3 linked regions of the Arabidopsis thaliana genome follow. The protein of the gene in region 3 purifies or fractionates together with the protein of the main gene of each other region. This does not show direct contact. Each region holds a gene or a part of one and is shown on either strand. Other genes may lie near its edges.

What was found. Proteins that work in one complex are often made in the same cells at the same time.
Region 1: the proteins of SAHH2 (region 3) and LAP1 fractionate together in Arabidopsis thaliana (co-fractionation; one large-scale study listed by BioGRID). This does not show direct contact.
Region 2: the proteins of SAHH2 (region 3) and AT4G30910 fractionate together in Arabidopsis thaliana (co-fractionation; one large-scale study listed by BioGRID). This does not show direct contact.

Annotation. Positions count from the first base shown.
Region 1 is NC_003071.7:10,284,931-10,292,458, reverse strand, and holds LAP1 (Cytosol aminopeptidase family protein), read left to right. Parts: upstream 1-2,773; 5' UTR 2,774-3,008; coding exon 3,009-3,059; intron 3,060-3,184; coding exon 3,185-3,593; intron 3,594-3,688; coding exon 3,689-3,883; intron 3,884-3,979; coding exon 3,980-4,205; intron 4,206-4,308; coding exon 4,309-4,435; intron 4,436-4,512; coding exon 4,513-4,608; intron 4,609-4,692; coding exon 4,693-4,770; intron 4,771-4,861; coding exon 4,862-4,922; intron 4,923-5,021; coding exon 5,022-5,209; intron 5,210-5,310; coding exon 5,311-5,442; 3' UTR 5,443-5,653; downstream 5,654-7,528. Other genes in the region: AT2G24205 (ECA1 gametogenesis related family protein), read right to left, coding at 697-1,041; AT2G24195 (uncharacterized protein), read right to left, coding at 5,869-5,966, 6,401-6,548; SDR2 (NAD(P)-binding Rossmann-fold superfamily protein), read left to right, coding at 7,525-7,528. UniProt on the Arabidopsis thaliana protein: Presumably involved in the processing and regular turnover of intracellular proteins. Catalyzes the removal of unsubstituted N-terminal amino acids from various peptides.
Region 2 is NC_003075.7:15,040,482-15,047,943, forward strand, and holds AT4G30910 (Cytosol aminopeptidase family protein), read right to left. Parts: upstream 4,864-7,462; 5' UTR 4,768-4,863; coding exon 4,537-4,767; intron 4,355-4,536; coding exon 3,940-4,354; intron 3,847-3,939; coding exon 3,652-3,846; intron 3,541-3,651; coding exon 3,315-3,540; intron 3,225-3,314; coding exon 3,098-3,224; intron 3,023-3,097; coding exon 2,780-3,022; intron 2,695-2,779; coding exon 2,634-2,694; intron 2,551-2,633; coding exon 2,363-2,550; intron 2,269-2,362; coding exon 2,140-2,268; 3' UTR 1,876-2,139; downstream 1-1,875. Other genes in the region: AT4G30900 (DNAse I-like superfamily protein), read left to right, coding at 482-564, 651-752, 868-1,082, 1,270-1,364, 1,451-1,722; LAP2 (Cytosol aminopeptidase family protein), read right to left, coding at 6,108-6,239, 6,334-6,521, 6,595-6,655, 6,746-6,823, 6,919-7,014, 7,090-7,216, 7,303-7,462. UniProt on the Arabidopsis thaliana protein: Presumably involved in the processing and regular turnover of intracellular proteins. Catalyzes the removal of unsubstituted N-terminal amino acids from various peptides. Possesses Cys-Gly dipeptidase activity.
Region 3 is NC_003074.8:8,586,205-8,592,841, reverse strand, and holds SAHH2 (S-adenosyl-l-homocysteine (SAH) hydrolase 2), read left to right. Parts: upstream 1-3,087; 5' UTR 3,088-3,170; coding exon 3,171-3,881; intron 3,882-4,082; coding exon 4,083-4,829; 3' UTR 4,830-5,220; downstream 5,221-6,637. Other genes in the region: RALFL24 (ralf-like 24), read right to left, coding at 6,019-6,375. UniProt on the Arabidopsis thaliana protein: Adenosylhomocysteine is a competitive inhibitor of S-adenosyl-L-methionine-dependent methyl transferase reactions; therefore adenosylhomocysteinase may play a key role in the control of methylations via regulation of the intracellular concentration of adenosylhomocysteine.

The DNA.
Region 1 (7,528 bases), on a different chromosome or scaffold from region 3:
AATATCTGATTTAAACAAAAAATCTAAACATAATCCAAACAATCCGAAAACCGCAAAACAAAACTGAAATGACTAGTTGAACTAACATGAAACCTTAGCAAACCATAGAGTTGGGAAACCAAAGTGAGACATAAAACGATGCCAATATATCAAAGTTTTAAAGCGAAGGTAAACCATAACATCCTAAAAATTAAAAAAGTAGCAGAATTCAATCGAAAGTAGTAAAAAAATTTTGGAAGATAGTGAAAACAAGCCAGCCTCAAGCTTCTTATTAGCTACATTTTCAAACTTGGACATGTCCCTGGTACAACAAAAGACACAAATTCGGATACATATCGAATATTGCATCGGATCAAGTATAATCTGGTACCTATGGATATTGAATGCGATTCGGATTTTAATCCGATTTTCCGGTTTGGATTATCGGTTTCAGATTAAACGCCCAAGCCTAGTTTTAATTAGTTAAGTTAGATTTAGTTTACAAATTACGCTTTTATTTATAAAATACTAGTAAAGTGAGCTTTTGGCCATCTTAAATATTTTTATTTTTAAAAAAATGGGATCATGGAAAGAGTTAAATTGTTACGGTGGCAATTATTTATATTTAGTAAAGTTATATTAAAAACTGTTTTTTAAGTGGTGGCAACTACCACCTCTTTACTAGGCGTGGATCCCTCAGAACATTGTTCTTTCAAATTAGTGGATCCCTGCCTGATTACATTGTTCTTTCAAATTAGGAGGGAAAAGTACACTGTATAGAATATTTGGCATGCATTTTATGCTATCCATGAAAGCCTTACAACAAGCGGGCATCATGTGACCGAATTTCTCTCCAAAAGCTTGAGAGATCTCTAATAAGCATCCTGGAACATTCCTCACGGACGAGAAACATTTTTTTACGTCTGGTAGGTTTAGTATACCAGTCGAGCGCAGAAATGGAAGCGGGTTTGAGAAAATAATCGGATATTGCTGTAGTTGAGCATTTACAGAAACTGCTACACAAATGGTTACTAGAACAAAAAGTACATTCTTTATCGTCATGATATATATTCTTATGGCAAAACAAAAGAAAAATTAAAATATTCTGATGTGTGATTCTTTTTCAAGTTTGTAACTGGGTGATGAAAATAACATGGGATTATTGTCTGATTTATATGAAAGAAATGAAGAACTGGCTTTAATTATCTTTAATGAAACTCGTTCGAGTATTTATTTGCCTATTTGGTAATTAATTTGCGGTTTCCAACATTGAAAAAGAGTTGAAAATGTAACGATTGTCTTTCAAAAAACGCATTATGAAAATGGAACCATGTCCATGTTAATATCACTCTCACCATTCTTAGTGTTATTAACTAATATATATTATGGAAGAGTTTTCTGTTCTCTTAATGTGTACATATCATCATGGTAAACATCCAATCAAACAAAGCCATGTCACCATTTTTTTTTTTTAACACTAAATTATAATTACAATGTTCATTTAATAAATATTTATTTCTATTAATATTAATTATTAACAAAAAACTAATAAAATAAAAAATGATTTTAAAATAGTAAAAGTCATAATGTGAAATTTTATTAGTAACAATAATATTATTAAAATTTTAACATAAACACAATTAAAAATGATCATACTTCAAAATACAAAAGAAAAAAAGAAGACAAAATTCAGAAAAAGAATCAAAAGATACATATGACATGTGAACAAATGGGTAGATTAGTATATATTACATGTTATACACATAATCATGTAGTCAACTTTTTTTAAGTTAGTTATTGAATTATTAAATTTTTATGGTCATACAGCCTAATTTCTCATGTATCAATTAGACCATTGTCGACAAAACAAAATAGAAAAAATAGTTGAATTGATTAGGCTCCATGTTTGACTGGTACGCCGTGTACTTGTCAATGTTCCGGACGGCGAATAGTATTTTTGATATTAGGAAATGGGGTTTACCTTCAAAATATTGGTGTGGACGGATTTGTGGATACTTGATCAGATATCAAAGGCGGCACAAAATGACCAACGATCGACGAAACAGTGCCCAAAATCAGAGTCAGAAGTGACTAGCTCGATAGCATGATCGATGCCCTTTCACCCATTTAAACCATTCCACCTAGAACACTTCAACACGACTGAAGCTAAAACTTTTGCATATCTCATAGAGATATGTTTGATAAGGTTGCTGAAAATAACAACTTCTACTATAATTTTGTCTTTTATTATTTCGACCTTCTCTTAAGAAATTCGCCCAAAAAAATTTCCAAATCAAAAAGTTGTTATTATCCTAACAGATCTTAAATTATATGTTTCGATTTTCGGTTATATACTGGTAAAATCTGAAATCCGAACATTAAAAAAAAATTGAAACCCAAACGGATACTCAAAAACACCTACAACCCAACCATTATACCAAAAAATAAAATCCAAACGTAAACCCAAAAAACACAAAACAATATATACACATATTTTTGGATTTTAAGGATCATTTGGAGCGTTTTTCTATATACATCGTTTAGGTTTTTGGAGTTTTTCGATTCAAAAATCGAATCAGAACATATTTCGATTCTATGGTCGCATTTTTTTTTTTTCGAGAACCATTCCGAACCCGTATAAATCCAAAACGAACCGATCGAAACATATTCAGTACCTTCCGAAATCTCCCTATCTAAAAAATCCAAAACCATGTCTTACCCTACAAATCCAAAACCCGAATTACCCTAATAAAATCCGATTCAAAGTCCGAATGTCTAAAAAATCCAAAACCCTATTTTACCCTACAAATCCAAAACCCGAATTATCGTAATAAAATCCAATCCGAAGTCCGAATGTTCAAGCCTAATTGAGCTACTCACTAACACACATCACACATGTGTAAATCACACCTAACTTCTCCTTCTATATATACGCCTTTGAAAGACCAATCCTAACTTTTCATTGTTTACTCTTTCGTCTTCCTTTTCAGAGTTCAATCACACAACACCTCTCTTCAATAGCAATAACCATGGCTCACACTCTCGGTCTCACTCAACCCAACTCCACTGAGCCTCACAAGGTTTGTTTCCTTCACTGTGATTTTGAAATGATTTTGTATGGAATCCAGTTTTGATTTAGTTCAAAGTTTTGATTTTTTGATTGATTCGAGTTTGAAGTTTTGATCTTTTGGTGACGATTATGCAGATCTCGTTCACTGCGAAGGAGATCGATGTAATTGAATGGAAAGGAGACATACTCGTAGTTGGTGTGACAGAGAAGGACTTAGCCAAAGACGGTAACTCAAAGTTTGAGAATCCGATCTTGAGCAAGGTCGATGCTCACTTAAGTGGACTTTTAGCTCAAGTCTCTTCCGAGGAAGATTTCACTGGGAAACCTGGTCAATCGACTGTTCTCAGGCTTCCGGGTTTAGGATCAAAGAGAATCGCTTTGATCGGTCTTGGACAGTCTGTTTCGTCTCCGGTGGCTTTTCATAGCCTTGGTGAAGCTGTAGCTACAGTTTCAAAAGCTTCTCAATCTACTAGTGCTGCTATTGTGCTTGCTTCAAGTGTTTCTGATGAATCTAAGCTTAGTTCTGTATCAGCTTTAGCTTCAGGTAACTTCAATTAGTATAACACAAGTTCGAGTCTTGTTTAGTACTGTTTTGGAAATTGGAACTGATTTGGGGTCTCATTGTTTATTTTTGGATAGGCATAGTACTTGGTTTATTTGAAGATGGTAGGTATAAGTCTGAATCAAAGAAACCATCTTTGAAAGCTGTTGATATTATTGGATTTGGAACTGGGGCTGAGGTAGAAAAGAAGCTGAAGTATGCTGAAGATGTTTCTTACGGTGTAATTTTCGGGAGAGAGCTCATTAATTCTCCTGCCAATGTGCTTACTCCTGGTATGAATTGTTGTCATTTATGAAATCAAATATTTTCGTGTTTGTGTGGTGTTCGCTGAGTTTTCCTAAACTGCTTTGATTTTTGTATCGTTTCAGCTGTACTAGCTGAGGAAGCAGCAAAGGTGGCTTCTACGTACAGTGATGTCTTCACTGCAAACATCTTGAACGAAGAGCAATGCAAAGAGTTGAAGATGGGTTCTTACCTAGCTGTTGCTGCTGCGTCGGCTAATCCTCCTCACTTCATCCACCTTGTCTATAAACCTCCGAATGGCTCTGTTAAGACCAAACTTGCTCTTGTTGGAAAAGGATTGACCTTTGACAGGTAACTAATCATTCTGTATTGCTTTGAATTTTACTCTGTTACGAGCTGGTATCTTTTCTTTGTTATTTTAGTGGTTGTTGATTTGAATATCTTGTGTACACAGTGGTGGCTACAACATTAAGACTGGACCTGGCTGCTCAATTGAGCTCATGAAATTCGACATGGGCGGTTCAGCTGCTGTTCTTGGCGCTGCGAAAGCTATTGGTGAGATTAAGCCTCCTGGTGTTGAGGTTAGTTTCTCCCATCAGATTCTTTTGAAAGCTATAGTTTGTTAACCGAACTGAACAGATTCGTCTTCCACAACCAGGTTCATTTCATCGTTGCAGCCTGTGAAAATATGATTAGTGGAACCGGAATGAGACCTGGAGATGTCATCACTGCCTCAAACGGAAAGACCATTGAGGTATCTGATGATTTTTTCCCCCTCAGAGTTGAGCTTTTACTGTTTTTCCTATGAAATGCTAATTGTTGGCGATGGTGTGTGTAGGTCAACAACACAGATGCTGAAGGTCGTCTAACACTCGCAGATGCTCTAGTGTATGCTTGTAACCAAGGCGTCGACAAGGTATTGCATTACTTTATTGATATGAGAAGCTAAAGGAGCTTGTTTCTGTTAAATTTATCCTTTCAGTTAAACATTGTCAAATATCTTGCAGATTGTTGACCTCGCTACTTTGACCGGGGCCTGTGTTATTGCTCTTGGAACTTCAATGGCAGGTACACAGCTCAAAAACCCTGCAGAAAAACTCAATCTTTGTGTCGTTTTTGAGTCCAAAATTGGCTCATGATGATCATTCTGTGTTCATTACTTGATAGGAATCTATACACCTAGCGACGAGCTTGCAAAGGAAGTGATTGCTGCATCAGAAAGGAGTGGAGAGAAGCTGTGGAGGATGCCACTGGAAGAGAGCTATTGGGAGATGATGAAGTCTGGAGTGGCTGATATGGTCAACACAGGCGGGCGGGCAGGAGGATCCATCACCGCGGCTCTCTTCTTGAAACAGGTGAAAACAAAGTCCCTTTAGAGGCTATACATACATGTTTTTGACAAAAAATTCGTCGGTGAAAGTAACTAAACCATCCTCTATTTTCTGTGGTATGGCAGTTTGTGAGTGAGAAGGTGCAATGGATGCATATCGACATGGCTGGACCGGTGTGGAACGAGAAGAAGAAGTCTGGGACCGGGTTTGGTGTTGCTACGCTTGTTGAATGGGTACAGAAGAATTCATCTTCGTGAATGAAACCTAGAGAGCGTGAGGGAGAGACTGTAGAGTTTTTCGGGTGTTGAAATGATTGCTGGTTTTTAATAAGGTCTCAAAAGTTACTATGTTTTCAGATGTTCTTAACTTGTTATGAAAAGTAAAATCGTCAAAAGTTGAATAAAGTGGTACTTTGTTTTAGTCGTGCAAAAATACTGTCTGAAATTTCTACTTTTGAAGTCTTCAACATTGGGTTCTCCTTTTCATTACTTTTTTCGGTAACCACTTCAAATTTTATGAACCATAATGTCAAATGCAATAATTGAACATCTTTTGAAAAAAAAACAGCATATGAGTGGTTACAAAACATGACTTTTATCTATCATAAAATAAAATATTTTTTTGATAATATTTTGAAGTAACTATTCTACTTAATACTCCTTTTGTTCCTTAGTACTGATTTTCTAACCGGTTTGCCCAGGTCCACGCCTTGAAGCACTGGGAAGTACACGAACCTTCACATTGTTGAAGATCTTTTGATCCCAAACCCTGTTTCCTATTTCTTTCAAAACAGAAAAAAAAGAAGCAACAATTAACAAATCATTTCTGTTATGCCAGTTTATTGCTTACGTATCTAGAGGAACCAATCCAAATTGAAAAAGAACTGTATGTCCATACCGGAATAATTATTACAAAAGCCAAAAATGAAGAGATATTATTACAATGATTCAGTTTTAGTTTTCATATATAATGAGCAAATCGTAAATTCAAACTGCGATGATAAAGTAAAATTGACGACTATTTTCTATGGATATTCTTTGATTTTAAAGATATATTTGCAAACATGGAATTATAACCAAAACTATATAACATTCGATTTTCATTCAATATCTCTGTTTTCTAAAACGGAAAATTTGAAGTGTATATTTAATACTCTACAATCAAATTAAACAAAAATCGAATAGTATACAAAATTGCTTGGAATATAAAAATTACTTGGATTTGAAGACTCATGATGTACTCGGGCCAATGCTGTGTTTGATAGTCCAGAGAGCAAGAGAAAACTCAAAGTTAATAAGCAAACGACGAATTTATACATTTTGGGTTGATTTAGATCTATGAATTCAAAATGTAATTCAAGCATATATATATAGAGAGATAAATGAAGCCCACGTTTTACAGTATTCTTTTTTATAAATGAAACCAGGTCAAAAAAATGGTTTGGTGTGTCCCGCGTGCAATGAAAAATTGAAAATTCATATGTGAACCTAATATATTATTATATCTCTCAGCGTGTTTCATTTTCAATATACAATGAAAATGCGTATGTGACTCTTGAAAATGTAAGATTTTCTATGAATTAGTCCAACTCTTGAAAATGTAAAGTTTTCAGGAGAAGAAGGTGGACGGTTTTATTAAGATCGTGTCAAAAAAAAAAAAAACAATGATTTGTAAAATAAACTAAACTTTCGACTAAACGATTGTAACCATTTATAAAAAAATTACGTTCAACAATAGAAGGTATTTATTCGGATTACAGTTTTCTGAAAAAAAACAAAATCATACAATATAATTTTTGTTTTCAGAATCATATATTTAACAAAAAATTGCGATAAAATAACACAACTGAAAAATATTTGTTCAAATTACTACTATTATATAAATTAATCTATTAAAAACTATAAAATATTTGTTTAAAACTTTTTCACCATTCAAACATTCATACTGGATAACATATTATTTTCTCATTATTCACACATTATTTTGAGCTGTTTGTAGCGTTTTTCTTCTGCATAATGAGTTTTCCTCCAACAAGTCGCATCACATAATTTAATCTGTTTGTTCTGCACATTCTGATTACCATATATATCGCCTCAGCTTTACATATATATAGATTTTGTTATATATCTTATGTCTAAGCTATTTTCTTTTAACTATTCTTTATAGGCCGCTTATGTTAACGAAAACACTAAAATCATAACCAAAACTATTTAATGGTGAGATTATTGGGCCACTCACTCTTTACCTTTTCCAAGAACATCAATTTCTGAGCTACGTGGCTTCATTGGCTTCCACATTTCGTTTGAAACATTCTTGTCTGAACTAAAACCTAGAAAAAAATGG
Region 2 (7,462 bases), on a different chromosome or scaffold from region 3:
TAAATGGTGTGAGTTAGGTCTAATTGAACCCTGTTTGTATACAGCAGTCTGCTTCTTCTTAAGTTCACAGACTAGTGTGAATCTTGTTATCAATCGTAGACCACTCTTCTTGTTCTCAATCTACTATGTAAATCTATTTGTGATCTACTAGATTTAATTCTATTTTTAGTATATGTTGGTATTGCTTAAATCTGATAGCCAATTTGTCAATCCGTATCCTTTTTTGCATCAAGTTCAAGTTAGTGTTTTTAGGCTACAAAAGCCGGAGTCTAGTGCACTTAATGCATCTGTTTTATGGCAATGGAATGCATGATATTCTCACATTTACAGGTGCTTTCTTTGAAATGATGGTGGTATTGTTTATCTGGTTTTTGTTACTGTGAACCATGGAGCTTAGCTTCTAGTTTCACATGCCTTAATAATACTTCAGTTTGCATTGTTTCTTTGAACTTAAATAGATGGTAGTACTCTTTGCTTGCAGCCTATGATCAATTTGGCATATCAAGAACAGGACCTGGGGATGCTAATGATGAACACTGCACCATCTTCTTCAACAAGGAAAAAGTATTAATTCGGTTGATAAGACAATACATAACTACGCTCTAAATAATTAATACGCTGCTTGATACTATACTTTATACTAATTGAAGGTAGAGCTGCTAGAGGGTGGAACTTTTTGGTTGTCAGAGTCTCCCTCGGTCCCTGGAAGCACGGCATGGGGTTCCGCAGTTCCTTGTATAGCGACATGGGCTATATCCTTTTTACTAGTTGGGTTCATTTTAGTTAAACTATAATTAGATTAGTTTATGATTTTGGTGTTTTTGTCCTATATATCAGTATTTTGGTTTTCTTTGACAAGCTGCCTACACATTCCAACTTAAAGGAGCGGAGCCGCCTGGTTTTTCGTTTCAGATAGTCAACACAAACTTGGATGAAATCAGCCCTCGTGCCCGTAGGCGAAGTGCTTTACTCACATGGCAACACATAGCATCATTACCTCCCACTTTGCCGGTTGTGTACTGTGGAGGATTCAACACACAGAAGGAATCAACAACAGGGCGGTTTCTGTTGGGCAGATCTAGGTACCTTAATATCACATTCACAAGTTTTGTGCTTTTTACCAATCTCCTAGAGTTTTCTTTCAGGGCTCCTAGTTAATGCAAGAATGGCTAAACCATTCTTCACACACTGATCAACTAGTTTCAAATCAAAGCATATTTACTTATTTGACTGCTGATGAATGGCTTTTGGGCATCATTCAACTTGCAGAGAGCATGGTGTGGTAGGAGATATGAGAGACGCATGGCCAAGTGCCCGAGTAAGAAAAAACGTCGCTCTCATAAGAACATACCATGATTTCAAAGGTGTGAAACATTCCACCCTCTCATGAGCTATAAAAATCATTTATCTCCAAAGCTTCTAGATCATAACATGTTGGGCCTTTGTTCAGGTGACAAGCAGGGAACGGTCGAGTTCCTGAAGCTGATATTCAGAGCGTTATGCCTCTGCTGGGACCGACAGACGCAAGATCTACACACGGATTGGATACTTTACAGAGGTAGATCTATAGTTCCTGTAATGTGCGAGATCGTAAATGATAAGATTGACGACTTGTATCCTTCATCTCACTACCCTGTGTTTGCTGAGTTTATGCTTCCTCGTTCTGTAAGAATGCTTGAACCTACTCCTCCTGTTTCTGCTCCTGCTCAAGAGGAAAGCTAGAACACATGTCCTCACTTGCTTAAGCTTTGGACTATACTGATTGTTGTGCAAATGAGCTCTGTTTTTTTCTCGGCGCCTTTATTTATTGATTTGAGCTAAAACATATTCAAAAGAGATTTAAATAAATTGTTTTGTTTGCTCCTAATAGTTTGTGTTATTATTGATGACCACTGAAACATAAGATTGACGACTTGTATCCTTCATCTTGTGCTCCTAATAGTTTGTGTTATTAGGTAAGTGATGTTACGGAACACAAGAATATCTACAAATAGTCAAATACTTTCAAATGGGTAACTCGTCATATTCAAGCGTCACACTTCACAGTTCACACAAGCAAATAAAAACCCTTTTACCTACATTAAAACCTCTGAGAATGTTAAATAAGAACTGGGAGCACAAAGATCACCTGCCTACATCTTAAGAAGAATTGTTCTGTACCCACTCAACAAGTGTCGCAACTCCAAACCCAGTCGCAGCTTTCTTCTTCTCGTTCCACACCCGTCCAGCCATATCTATGTGCAACCACTCAACATTCTCGCTAACAAACTGCAACCATTAACCAAATCCGGTTCTTCGTTAGAGAACAATAGAATCAGTATTGAAGTGTGTTTTTTTGTTTCCACTCTTATGGTATCCTCACCCGTTTCAAAAAGAGAGCTGCGGTGATGGATCCACCTGCACGGCCTCCAAAGTTAACCATATCTGCAACACCTGACTTCATCATCTCCCAATAACTCTCTTCCATAGGCATTCTCCATAACTTCTCTCCACTCCTCTGTGATGCAGCAATTACCTCCTTGGCAAGCTCATCACTAGCTGTGTACATGCCTGCAGAAATCAAAAATCGAAACCAATATTCAATCATCACGAAAGAATGTCATTCTGTCTATTTTATACACAAGACTATGTACCTGCCATTGATGGTCCAAGAGCAACAATAATCTCCCCGGTCAATGTTGCAATGTCAACAATCTGCAAATATATATGATTCACAAGTTGAGAGAAAACCCAGCAGAAAGAATGTTATTGATAAGGGGAAGAATCTTTGAAACAATACCTTATCGACACCCTGGTTGCAAGCATAAACTAGAGCATCTGCAAGTGTTAGCCGACCTTCAGAATCGGTGTCGTTGACCTGCAACACTAACAATGGAAAGCTTGAACCTTTCGAAGCTGAATTCATATGGAAACGGTGTAATGATACCTCAATTGTCTTCCCGTTTGAGGCTGTGATGACATCTCCAGGTCTCATTCCGGTACCACTTATCATATTCTCACAAGCTGCGACAATAAAGTGCACCTAATTGTGCAAAGAAGCATTTGTTCAGGTACATTCACTTAACTCAGAAACTCAAGCTCCGTGTGATAAACTTACCTCAACACCGGGAGGCTTAATTTCACCAATGGCTTTTGCAGCGCCAAGAACAGCAGCTGAACCTCCCACATCGATTTTCATGAGCTCAATTATTAATTCAGGCCCAATTTTAATGTTGTAGCCACCGCTGTGAACAAAAACCAGATGGTCAATAACCAATAAGTATAAAAGAAAGAGATTGATGCGGCAAACAGAAGACAACAGCTCTTGCGAGTACCTGTCAAATGTCAATCCTTTTCCAACAAGAGCAAGTTTGGTTTTAACAGGGCCACTAGAAGGTTTGTAGATAAGGTGGATGAAATGAGGTGGATTAGCTGAAGCAGCAGCTACAGCAAGATATGAACCCATCTTCAATTCTTTGCATTGCTCCTCTTTCAAGATGTTTGCAGTCATGACATTACTGTACATGGAAGCCAGATTCGAGGCTTCCTCAGCTAGTACGGCTGTAAGATACAAAGCAGATTAGAGTCAAATGTTTGAAATAAACTTCAATAGACATGATGCTCACATTATAAAAAACATGAGAAGTCTAAGAGTATGATTATAATCCATACCAGGGGAGAGAACATTGGCTGGTGAATTAACAAGTTCTTTCGTGAAAATTACGCCATAAGAAACATGTTCAGCATACTTAAGCTTGTTCTCTAGTTCAGGTCCAGTGCCAAAGCCAATGAATACTACAGATTTGAGAGATGGTTTCTTTGACTCAGACTTATACCGACTGTCTTCAAACAAACCAAGCACTGTGCCTGTCAAAAGTAAAAAACGATTCCACAAAAGGATCAGTTCAAAAATGGTAATGAAACAAGCACTTCTCAAGGTTTACTAAAAGAAATCACAACCTGAAGCTATATCTGAAGCAGAACTGAGCTTAGATTCATCAGAAAAACTCTCAGAGGAGGCGAGAACAACTGCAACACTGCTAGCTTGAGAAGCTTTAGCAGCTGCAGCAACAGCCTCACCAAGACTCTGAAAAGCCGAAGGGGTTGAAGCAGATTTTCCAAGACCAATCAAACCGACCCGCTTTGAGCCGAGACCCGGAAGCCTAAGAACTGTTGACTGGCCAGGTTTCCCAGAAAAATCTTCCTCAGCCGAGACATCAGCTAGAAGTCCACCCAAGTGGGCATCAAGCTTCTTCAGTATGGGGTTCTCGAACTTGGAGTTGGCATCCTTAGCCATATCTTTCTCCGTCACTCCAACAGCGAGTATATCACCTTTCCATTCAGTCACGTCAATCTCCTTCCCGGAAAATGAGATCTGATACAGAAAACTCGAGTAATCAGAATCCAGTTAAGCATCTGGAAAGCTAATCTCTGACAAGACTTGACCATAATCGAAGTAAGCAAATCAGTGGATCATCTTAATCGGAAACAGTAAAGCGACGAATCTACAAAGCATTCACTAGTATCGAGTTTAAACACATAACAGCAAAGTCAAACCTTAGGATGATCGACGGAGTTGGCCTGAGTAAGGCCAAGAGTAGCGTGTGCGATTGTATGAGCCGTGGCTTTAGAAGAGCAGTAGAGAGGCGTGATGGCGAAAGAGACTCTAAGGCGAGACAGCAACTGGAATCGTACGAAACAAGAGGAGAGAGACGACGGAGAAGAGGAGAAAGAGCGGAAATGGAAGCGAGAAGAAGAAGCACATGACGTTACCAAAGTGACCGCCATTTGAGAAGTCTCCACTGAGCTTAGCTTCTTTATATTTATTTATAAGGAGAAGAACAGAGTGGCTGATGCAGACATATATATATATATATATATATATAGTATGAAATTAGAGTTATCTTAGAAAATTAGAGTGGCCCAGTCTCTTCTTGCGTCCGCCCGCGTCCGACCGTCGTGTCTTGTTGACGATGATTATTCTTTTACTTGACTCACTCACTATTGCTATTATCCGACCCGATCTTAACAATCTTGATTAGCTGTAGACTTCTTTTCAAATTTTAATGTGATCATGTTTCACTATTACTAAACTTATCTTGATAACCATATCTGAAATACTTACTACTGTTATTTGTTGCCTTCAAATTTAAAGTTGTTTATACAAAACATAGTTTTGATACTATTTATAGAAATTCAAATATTTCAAGGCATTCTTACACGAAGTGATAAAAGAAATTGAAAAACACGTCAGTATTATCACTTTTGTAACTCATTTGTGGATCAATAGGTGAAATCCAATTAAAAATACATGATTTAATCTAATAACCAAACCAAATTTAGAAATCTCGATTAATTGATTTGGTATTCTTCCAATTAAATTAATTAGACTTGGTTTAATAATTAAACCAAACCAAATTCTTATAATCTAGTTACACCACACAGACGTAATAATACACCAACAACGCAAATTGTCATTGGTTTCGGTTCTGGTCTTAACTAAATTAAGAGTCATTGGTTTAGACTGGTTAAGATCCGGTTCAATAATCAACAACAAACACGGGAGATAAGGTTCGCCGTTACCTTTCTCGGCGATTACTCTCGGTGGATCTGCTCGGGGCTCGATGAGGCGGTTTAAGCTCACGGCAGTAAGGTCTCATAGCTCAACAATCAAAACCAAAACAAAGCACAGATCATAAGAGAAAGCCAAAAACTTCCTGAGCAAGTTACATAATAGATCTAGGGTTTCCTTACCCTTAACGGCCTTGGCGATGGACTACGACTACTCCGGTGACAGCGGTTGACATCCTGTGACTCGTGGTGTCACTCTCCGGTGACACACGGTGGCTGTAGTGGTGATGAACGGCGACTATCTCTCCTTCTCAACAACTCACGGACCCATTCAAATACAACAACATGACGGGACACAGCAACAACGGTGGCTCAACTGTGTCTCTCACGGTGGTTGTTGAATTTAAGTTTAGACTAGGTAAGCATACAACAACAAAACTAATCTTCTGATTGATTTAACTTGTCATACTTAGTTGCACAAAAAAAAAAAACTTGTCCCACCACACAAAGCAAAAACACAACTAGTTCACATCAGTCAGAGATCACCAGACTTCATCTTAAGAAGAAGAATGGTTCTGTACCCACTCAACTAGTGTCGCAACTCCAAACCCAGTTGCAGCTTTCTTCTTCTCGTTCCACACTGGTCCAGCCATATCTATGTGCATCCACTCAACATCCTCGCTCACAAACTGCAACCATTAACCAAACCCGGTTCTTCGTTAGAGAACAATAGCGTCAGTATTGAAATGTGTTCTTTTGTTTCCACTCTTATGATATACTCACCTGTTTCAAGAAAAGAGCCGCGGTAATGGATCCACCTGCACGGCCTCCAGTGTTAACCATATCTGCAACACCTGACTTCATCATCTCCCAGTAACTCTCTTCCATAGGCATTCTCCATAACTTCTCTCCACTCCTCTCTGATGCAGCAATCACCTCCTTTGCAAGCTTATCACTAGGTGTATATATGCCTGCAGAAAAACCAATAGTCAACCATCACGAAAGAATTTTATTCTGTCTTATTTAAAACACAAGACTATGTACCTGCCATTGATGTTCCAAGAGCAATAATACAAGCCCCAGTCAATGTTGCAAGGTCAACAACCTGCAAATATTGTAATTCACAAGTTGAGACTTGAGAGAAAAACCAACAGAAAGAATGTATTAATAAGTCGAAGAATCTTTGAAACAATACCTTATCGACACCCTGGTTGCAAGCATAAACTAAAGCATCTGCAAGTGTTAGTCGACCTTCAGCATCGGTGTTGTTGACCTGCAATACCACCCACAATTAGTTTGGCGTAAAACTAACAATGGAAAGCTCGAACCTTTTGAAGCTGAATTCATATGGAAACGGTGTTATGATACCTCAATCGTCTTTCCGTTTGAGGCTGTGAGGACATCTCCAGGTCTCATTCCAGTACCACTTATCATATTCTCACAAGCTGCGACAATAAAGTGCACCTGATTGTGCAACGAAGCATTTGTTTAGGTACATTCATTTAACTCAGAAACGCAAGCTCCGTGTGATAAACTTACCTCAACACCTGGAGGCTTAATTTGACCAATGGCTTTTGCAGCGCCAAGAACAGCAGCTGAACCTCCCATATCGAATTTCATGAGCTCAATTAAGCAGCCAGGCCCGGTTTTAATGTTGTAGCCACCGCTGTGAACAAAAACCATCTGGTCAATAACTAATAAGTATTAAATAAAGAGATTGATGCGGCAAACAGAAGCCAACAGCTCTAGTACCTGTCAAATGTCAATCCTTTTCCAACAAGAGCAAGTTTTGTTTTAACAGGGCCACTAGAAGGTTTGTAGATAAGATGTATGAAATGAGGTGGATTAGCTGAAGCAGCAGCTACAGCAAGATATGAACCCATCTTCAACTCTTTGCATTGCTCCTCGTTCA
Region 3 (6,637 bases):
CCTTTCTTCGTCTTTTATAATTCCTGATAACAACAAGAAATTGAGTCTCTTTAATCATCCGCGTAACTCAGCAACTCAACACAAACACCCCGAGAATTTCAGCAACCGAAGTATCCGAACCAATAACGTAATATGTTCTAAAGTTCCCTAAACTCTTACACCTTATTTTGTTACTTTCACTGACAAATTTTAAAAAGAAAACTAAAAGTATCGATTTGTAAAGAGTGAAAATCAACCTATTCTATTCATGGCTTCATGCAATAAACATCTTCATGGATGTTTTATCAGTTGGGTATCGTTTATTTTTTATCTATTTAAGTAGGCCCAAATTTTGAGTAGACCAATAATAACCCATTAATGGCCCATAGTTCTAAAAATGAAATTAATCGATGGTTGCTTTTATGCATGTTGATATGTATAAGTGTATAACCATGATCCAAATATACTGCTTTCTAAACGCATGCCTTCAACAATATATTACCATGTTCGAGGCTGCTCCATTTGTTATCTTCTTAAATCCGATACTTCTTTAGAATACATTTTTATCAGTTTGAAGCGCGTTATTAATAACATGTATATAGAAAATGTACTGCACTAAACAATTGACATTCTGTTTACAAATATTTTTAAATAGAAGACAATTGACATTTTAACTAGAAAACGAAAAGAATATTGAAAACGAAAAGTCTTAAGTGAGTATACTTTTGGTAACTTTCTTTTTGAAGTATATAGTTTGTGTGGAGTATAATCACGTTTAAAAGAAACTTTTGGGAATGTGGTAGTTGAGACTTGAGAGATTGAGAACTATTCTCACCGACCCACAAAGTGCCAAAGTTATTTTGGAATCAGGTTTACCAATGCCAATTATGGAGCTTCATAATGAGTGGCGTGGCCCTTCAATTTCTACACACACAAAAAATAGACGCCGTGTCACTTATAACCAAATATCTGTCGACATTGTGACGTTCACTAATGTTTGAACTTTATTCCTACTTTTATTTTTTCGTTTCTTGGTAAGAATTGATATGTGATGTACACTTTATTTGTTGGTTGAGAATTGATTTTCCTAAGCCAATTTTTGTTCTTACATCAAATACAATGTATATATCTATTCGACTATTACAAAAGTACTTATGTATGAGAGGTTTGGACTAGTGTCCCACCACAAAACTCATAAATTAGCTTTAGCCACATGCTGAGCTAAAATAATTTTATTAGGGTAAGAAAACTAGACCATAATTTTTACTCAAACAATAATATAAATTAGATCAACTAATGTACCTATACTAGTTATATATCTCTGCAAGATATCAAAGGAACAAATTGACATGGCTCGTGTACTTGCAACGTCTCATTTCTTGTTTAAAATACTCCAAATATTTAGGAAACACAAAAAAAAGGATATTTAATGAGTTCACCTTATTTTGCATTCGTTTATTATTGGTGTTTTTTTTGTTGGTAGGGTATTAATTCAGATCCACCGACGCCCTTCCACGATCCAGTGCACCGACGTTCATATTTTTTCTTGGCTCAAGAAGAATAAGGTGGTACATTCAATAATAACTAATGTTTAAACACACACACACACAAAACTATCGGTGTGAAACAGAGATAATGGAAGAACGACACTATTGGCCCAGACGAATAAGAATTAAGATCTATCGGTCTGAATGTGTGATGTGTGAAGGCTTGCTAGTGCACCAAAGTTCTAACCTTCTTAACCTTATCATGTAAAAATCACGTCTCTGATCTATCTGCATCATAATATTAATGTGTTTTTATCTTGCATGCCATTTGACAAATCACCTGTTAGATGTCATAATATATACTTCAATGTTGTTTTACGAAAACAAGTTTTCCCTAAATCTTTAGTAGTACGAATAACGTGTTGGTTATAGTTTCCTCGTAAAACTTGATCTTCCAAAGACTTATGAACCTTCGACTTTTTGTTGCCTTAAAATAGCAACAAGTTTCCTTAAATTGCAGGAACCACTAGAGCTTCAGAAATTTCATGGAATTGCAAACAGTTATATAAATTTCCAACTGATAATTGCAACCATTTGAAGGCAAATAATTATTTGCTCATCTTAATTTATCGTTTTTTTCACATATAACTTTGAATTTTTTCTATTTTTTTGGTTTATATACTTCGAAAATCTAAGATGAAGAAACAATGTCATCAAGATAATGTAAAAGAAAAAGCTTGGAACAAAAGCAATATGTGTTTCACAATTCACATAACACTTAAGCATGATCATAGTTCGGTCATGATCTAATTACATATCACTTTTTTTTTCTTTTGTAAAATCGATGATTCTATATCAAAATATAGGGAATTTTTGAAAAAAGTTTTTTTTTTAAATTATGCCTATAATATACTTATTGAAAAGTAATTTTGAGACAATTTTTTTTGTCACAAATCTGTGATATTTAGATACTATATTATGACTAAAATAACTCACAAATTCATAGTAATTTCATCACTATATTTGTGACGAAAAGGATCATAACAAAATTTGTCACATTTAGTGACGAACATCCGATGATAACTAACACTGTCACCAATGTCTTGTTACAAATTAGTTACGAACTTGTAACGAATATGAAAATTGCAATTTGTGATATAAGAATGAGTTAACATTAGTCACAAATTAATATCAATTGTTTTATGTATTATACAAAAGACCGTTTTTGGTAATGATAATATGTTGGCCAAATGATTTTAAAATATATTGGCCAAGATTAAAACCAAAGATATGAGTACTTTAGAAAAATTTGTACGTATTAAAAAAAAAACAATTGATGATAAAATAACACAAAACTGTTTTAGTTTTATTTGCATATGATAATATCAGATTTGTGTAAAAAAATTTTATACATCTGAAACAGAATTTTTCTTCATGTTCCCCTTTTTTTGCAAAATAATTAGTATCAATAATTATTGATTGTATGATTAACCCCATTTTTGAAAACAGAATTGTCACTCTTTTCGGAATATCTAAAAAAAAGGATGAAAAGTCAATATCTTTTACCAGATCCACCAAACTCTCTCTACAACTAATCTCAACCGTCCATCTCACTCCCGCCTTTATCTATTTAACCTCACTCCCTCACCATTCTCTTCCTCCTCCTTCATCACACAGATCCACACATCAAGAAACTATTCAAAAATGGCTTTGCTTGTAGAGAAAACCTCAAGTGGCCGTGAATACAAGGTCAAGGACATGTCCCAAGCCGACTTCGGCCGTCTCGAAATCGAGCTAGCCGAAGTCGAAATGCCTGGACTTGTCTCTTGCGTTACCGAATTCGGACCATCTCAGCCACTCAAAGGAGCAAGAATCACCGGTTCTCTCCACATGACGATCCAAACCGCGGTTTTAATCGAAACCTTAACCGCTCTCGGCGCTGAAGTCAGATGGTGTTCTTGCAACATCTTCTCCACTCAAGACCACGCCGCGGCCGCTATTGCTCGTGATTCCGCCGCGGTGTTCGCTTGGAAAGGTGAGACTCTTCAAGAATATTGGTGGTGTACAGAGAGAGCTCTTGACTGGGGTCCTGGAGGTGGTCCTGATCTCATCGTTGATGACGGTGGTGATGCTACACTGTTGATCCATGAAGGAGTTAAAGCTGAAGAGATCTTTGCCAAGAATGGTACGTTCCCTGACCCGACCTCTACTGATAATCCCGAGTTTCAGATCGTCCTGTCTATTATCAAAGACGGTCTTCAAGTTGATCCCAAGAAGTACCATAAGATGAAGGAGAGATTGGTTGGTGTCTCTGAGGAGACTACTACTGGTGTTAAGAGGCTTTATCAGATGCAGGAGACTGGAGCTCTCTTGTTCCCTGCCATTAACGTCAATGACTCTGTCACCAAGAGCAAGGTAATGTGGCACATTATAGCTTTAGAAGACACTAGATCTGATATTGTTTTGCCTAATTTGTGGATAATACAATGTTTTGAAATCACCAAAATATGAATGATATTGTTAATGGATCCATTTAGGTGGAAGCAAGAACTCTGTTTTTTGCTCTGTTTCTGCTCTGCATTTCTCTGTTTCACTGATGATTTGTTTGCTTTATAGTTTGACAACTTGTACGGATGCCGACACTCGCTTCCCGATGGTCTCATGAGGGCTACTGATGTTATGATTGCTGGAAAGGTTGCTGTTATCTGTGGTTATGGTGATGTAGGAAAAGGTTGTGCTGCAGCAATGAAAACCGCGGGTGCTCGTGTCATAGTGACTGAGATTGATCCAATCTGTGCTCTTCAGGCTCTTATGGAAGGTCTTCAAGTTCTGACCCTTGAGGATGTTGTCTCAGAAGCTGATATCTTCTGTACCACTACTGGTAACAAAGATATTATTATGGTTGATCACATGAGGAAGATGAAGAACAATGCCATTGTCTGTAACATTGGTCATTTTGACAATGAAATCGACATGCTTGGACTTGAGACCTACCCTGGTGTGAAACGTATTACCATCAAGCCACAGACCGATAGGTGGGTGTTTCCTGATACCAACTCTGGCATCATTGTTCTAGCTGAAGGTCGTTTGATGAACTTGGGATGCGCCACTGGACACCCGAGTTTCGTGATGTCGTGCTCATTCACCAACCAGGTGATTGCACAGCTTGAGCTCTGGAACGAGAAGTCAAGCGGGAAGTATGAGAAGAAGGTCTATGTTTTGCCTAAACACTTGGATGAGAAGGTAGCTGCACTTCACTTAGGCAAGCTTGGTGCAAGACTCACCAAGCTTACCAAGGACCAATCTGACTATGTCAGCATACCCGTTGAAGGTCCTTACAAGCCTGTTCACTACAGGTACTGAGAGGATAAAAGAGCCAAGCTTTGGTTCTTCGTTTGGTTTTCTGATTAAGCCGTTTATTGGCAATTGTTTGAGTCGGATTGGGTCTGGTTTGGTCGGAGAAATATGAGATATTGGTCTTCTGATGCGTGTGACCAAATATTGGTATGAATAAGGGGTTGTTTTTGATTTATGAGAGGCTGTTTTTTTGTTTTCTTCTTCTTCTATTTTATATATCTTCAACATAAATTAGCTTATGCTTTACATTATTGTTAGGCTTATTTATGCTTTGTTCTGTCTACTTTTCCAAACAAGAGTGAAAACAAAATACGCAAAGTTATTTTTTGGCTTCATATTACTGGAATTCTTTTGCTTCTTTGAATTGTATACCTATAAATCGTCTCATGAATTTTCTAACGACTCAAAGACTGACACTGATTCATCGTTTGGTAATTATAACAATGGGGGTGCTGTGTTGTGACCACCGAGATAACACTTTGACAAACCTTGAAACGAATGGAACATGGATGGAGTTCAAATCCGAGGTTTGTTCGGTGAATGTAAGAAACCAAAACACTCAAATTGGTCTCTAGTCACAGAATTCTACTATACCAACTCCTTCAACATGATAAGCTATATATCAAAGAGTCTTGATAACAAGTTACTGATTTGAACAAGACATGAGTATACCGGTTTCCTACTCGAAATCACACAACACAACACAAACACAAACTTAAGCCAAAACTCATCTGAAACTCTTTAGGCATTTGACAAATGGAGTTCAATGGAGAGTCCAAGAGTCAGGTTCTTGAACTTACAAGAACAACCAAAATCAGCTTTCTAATTAAAACATTATTGTACTCAGATCAATTGCTTGATGAATTCAAACCCATCAAAGATCTAAATCCATTATAAGAACCATCTCAATTCTTCACATACCCTGCCAAAACTTCTAAATTTGGTCCATAAGTACCCTAAACAAGCTTAAAACCCAAACTTTATTCCACAATCTTCCATCTATTACTCCACTCAACACTTTCAAGACTATAAATATCAATTACTTGAACATTAATAGCCAAAATTACATATCAATAATTAAGAAATCTAATGTAAACAACAACATTACAAAACAAAAGACAAGAATAATAAGATTTCACTTGCCTCTAGAGCATCTGAGTTTAAAACTCAAATGTACTTAAAGACCCCAATGTTTTCAAGTCTTGATGTCGTTAGTGTCTCTAGCACACCTAGTAATGACACTACATCCTCTGTTGTAAGCATTAGCCTGACCAGAGCGACAAGCGTAATAAGAAGCACCTGGTTTCTGACAAGGAACCATATCTCTCCTTAAAGTTTCGTAGCTTATGTACTGTTTCCGCATCATCATTACTCTCCGACTTATCTCCGATGGCATCATCTCCTCTCCTTCTTCCTCTCCGATTACGCCGTTCCGGTTCAGCATTGCGTCGATTTCGCCGTTTACCGACGGAATCGGAACTGTGACGGAGATTGAGAGATGGGTTTGAAGACAAAGTAAGGATAAGTAAACGAGAGCTAAGGATCTAGACATGTCGGTGTGTGAAAATTTGGTAAGATTGTGATCTCTGTGTTTACGACAACTCCAAGTAGCTCTTGGGAGTTAAACCGGTCGGTTTAAGTTGGATTGATAGAGAGTTTCAACAGAATTTGTAACATAAAGTATTTAATTTAAATAAAACTATTTTTTTCATTGGGTTCTTATCCATTTTAAAAAATATTTATTGTGGTCCACTAACAAACACTTGGTTCCTTTGAGAATCCACGATTAATTGTTGTTTTCTTTCCAACTGCAA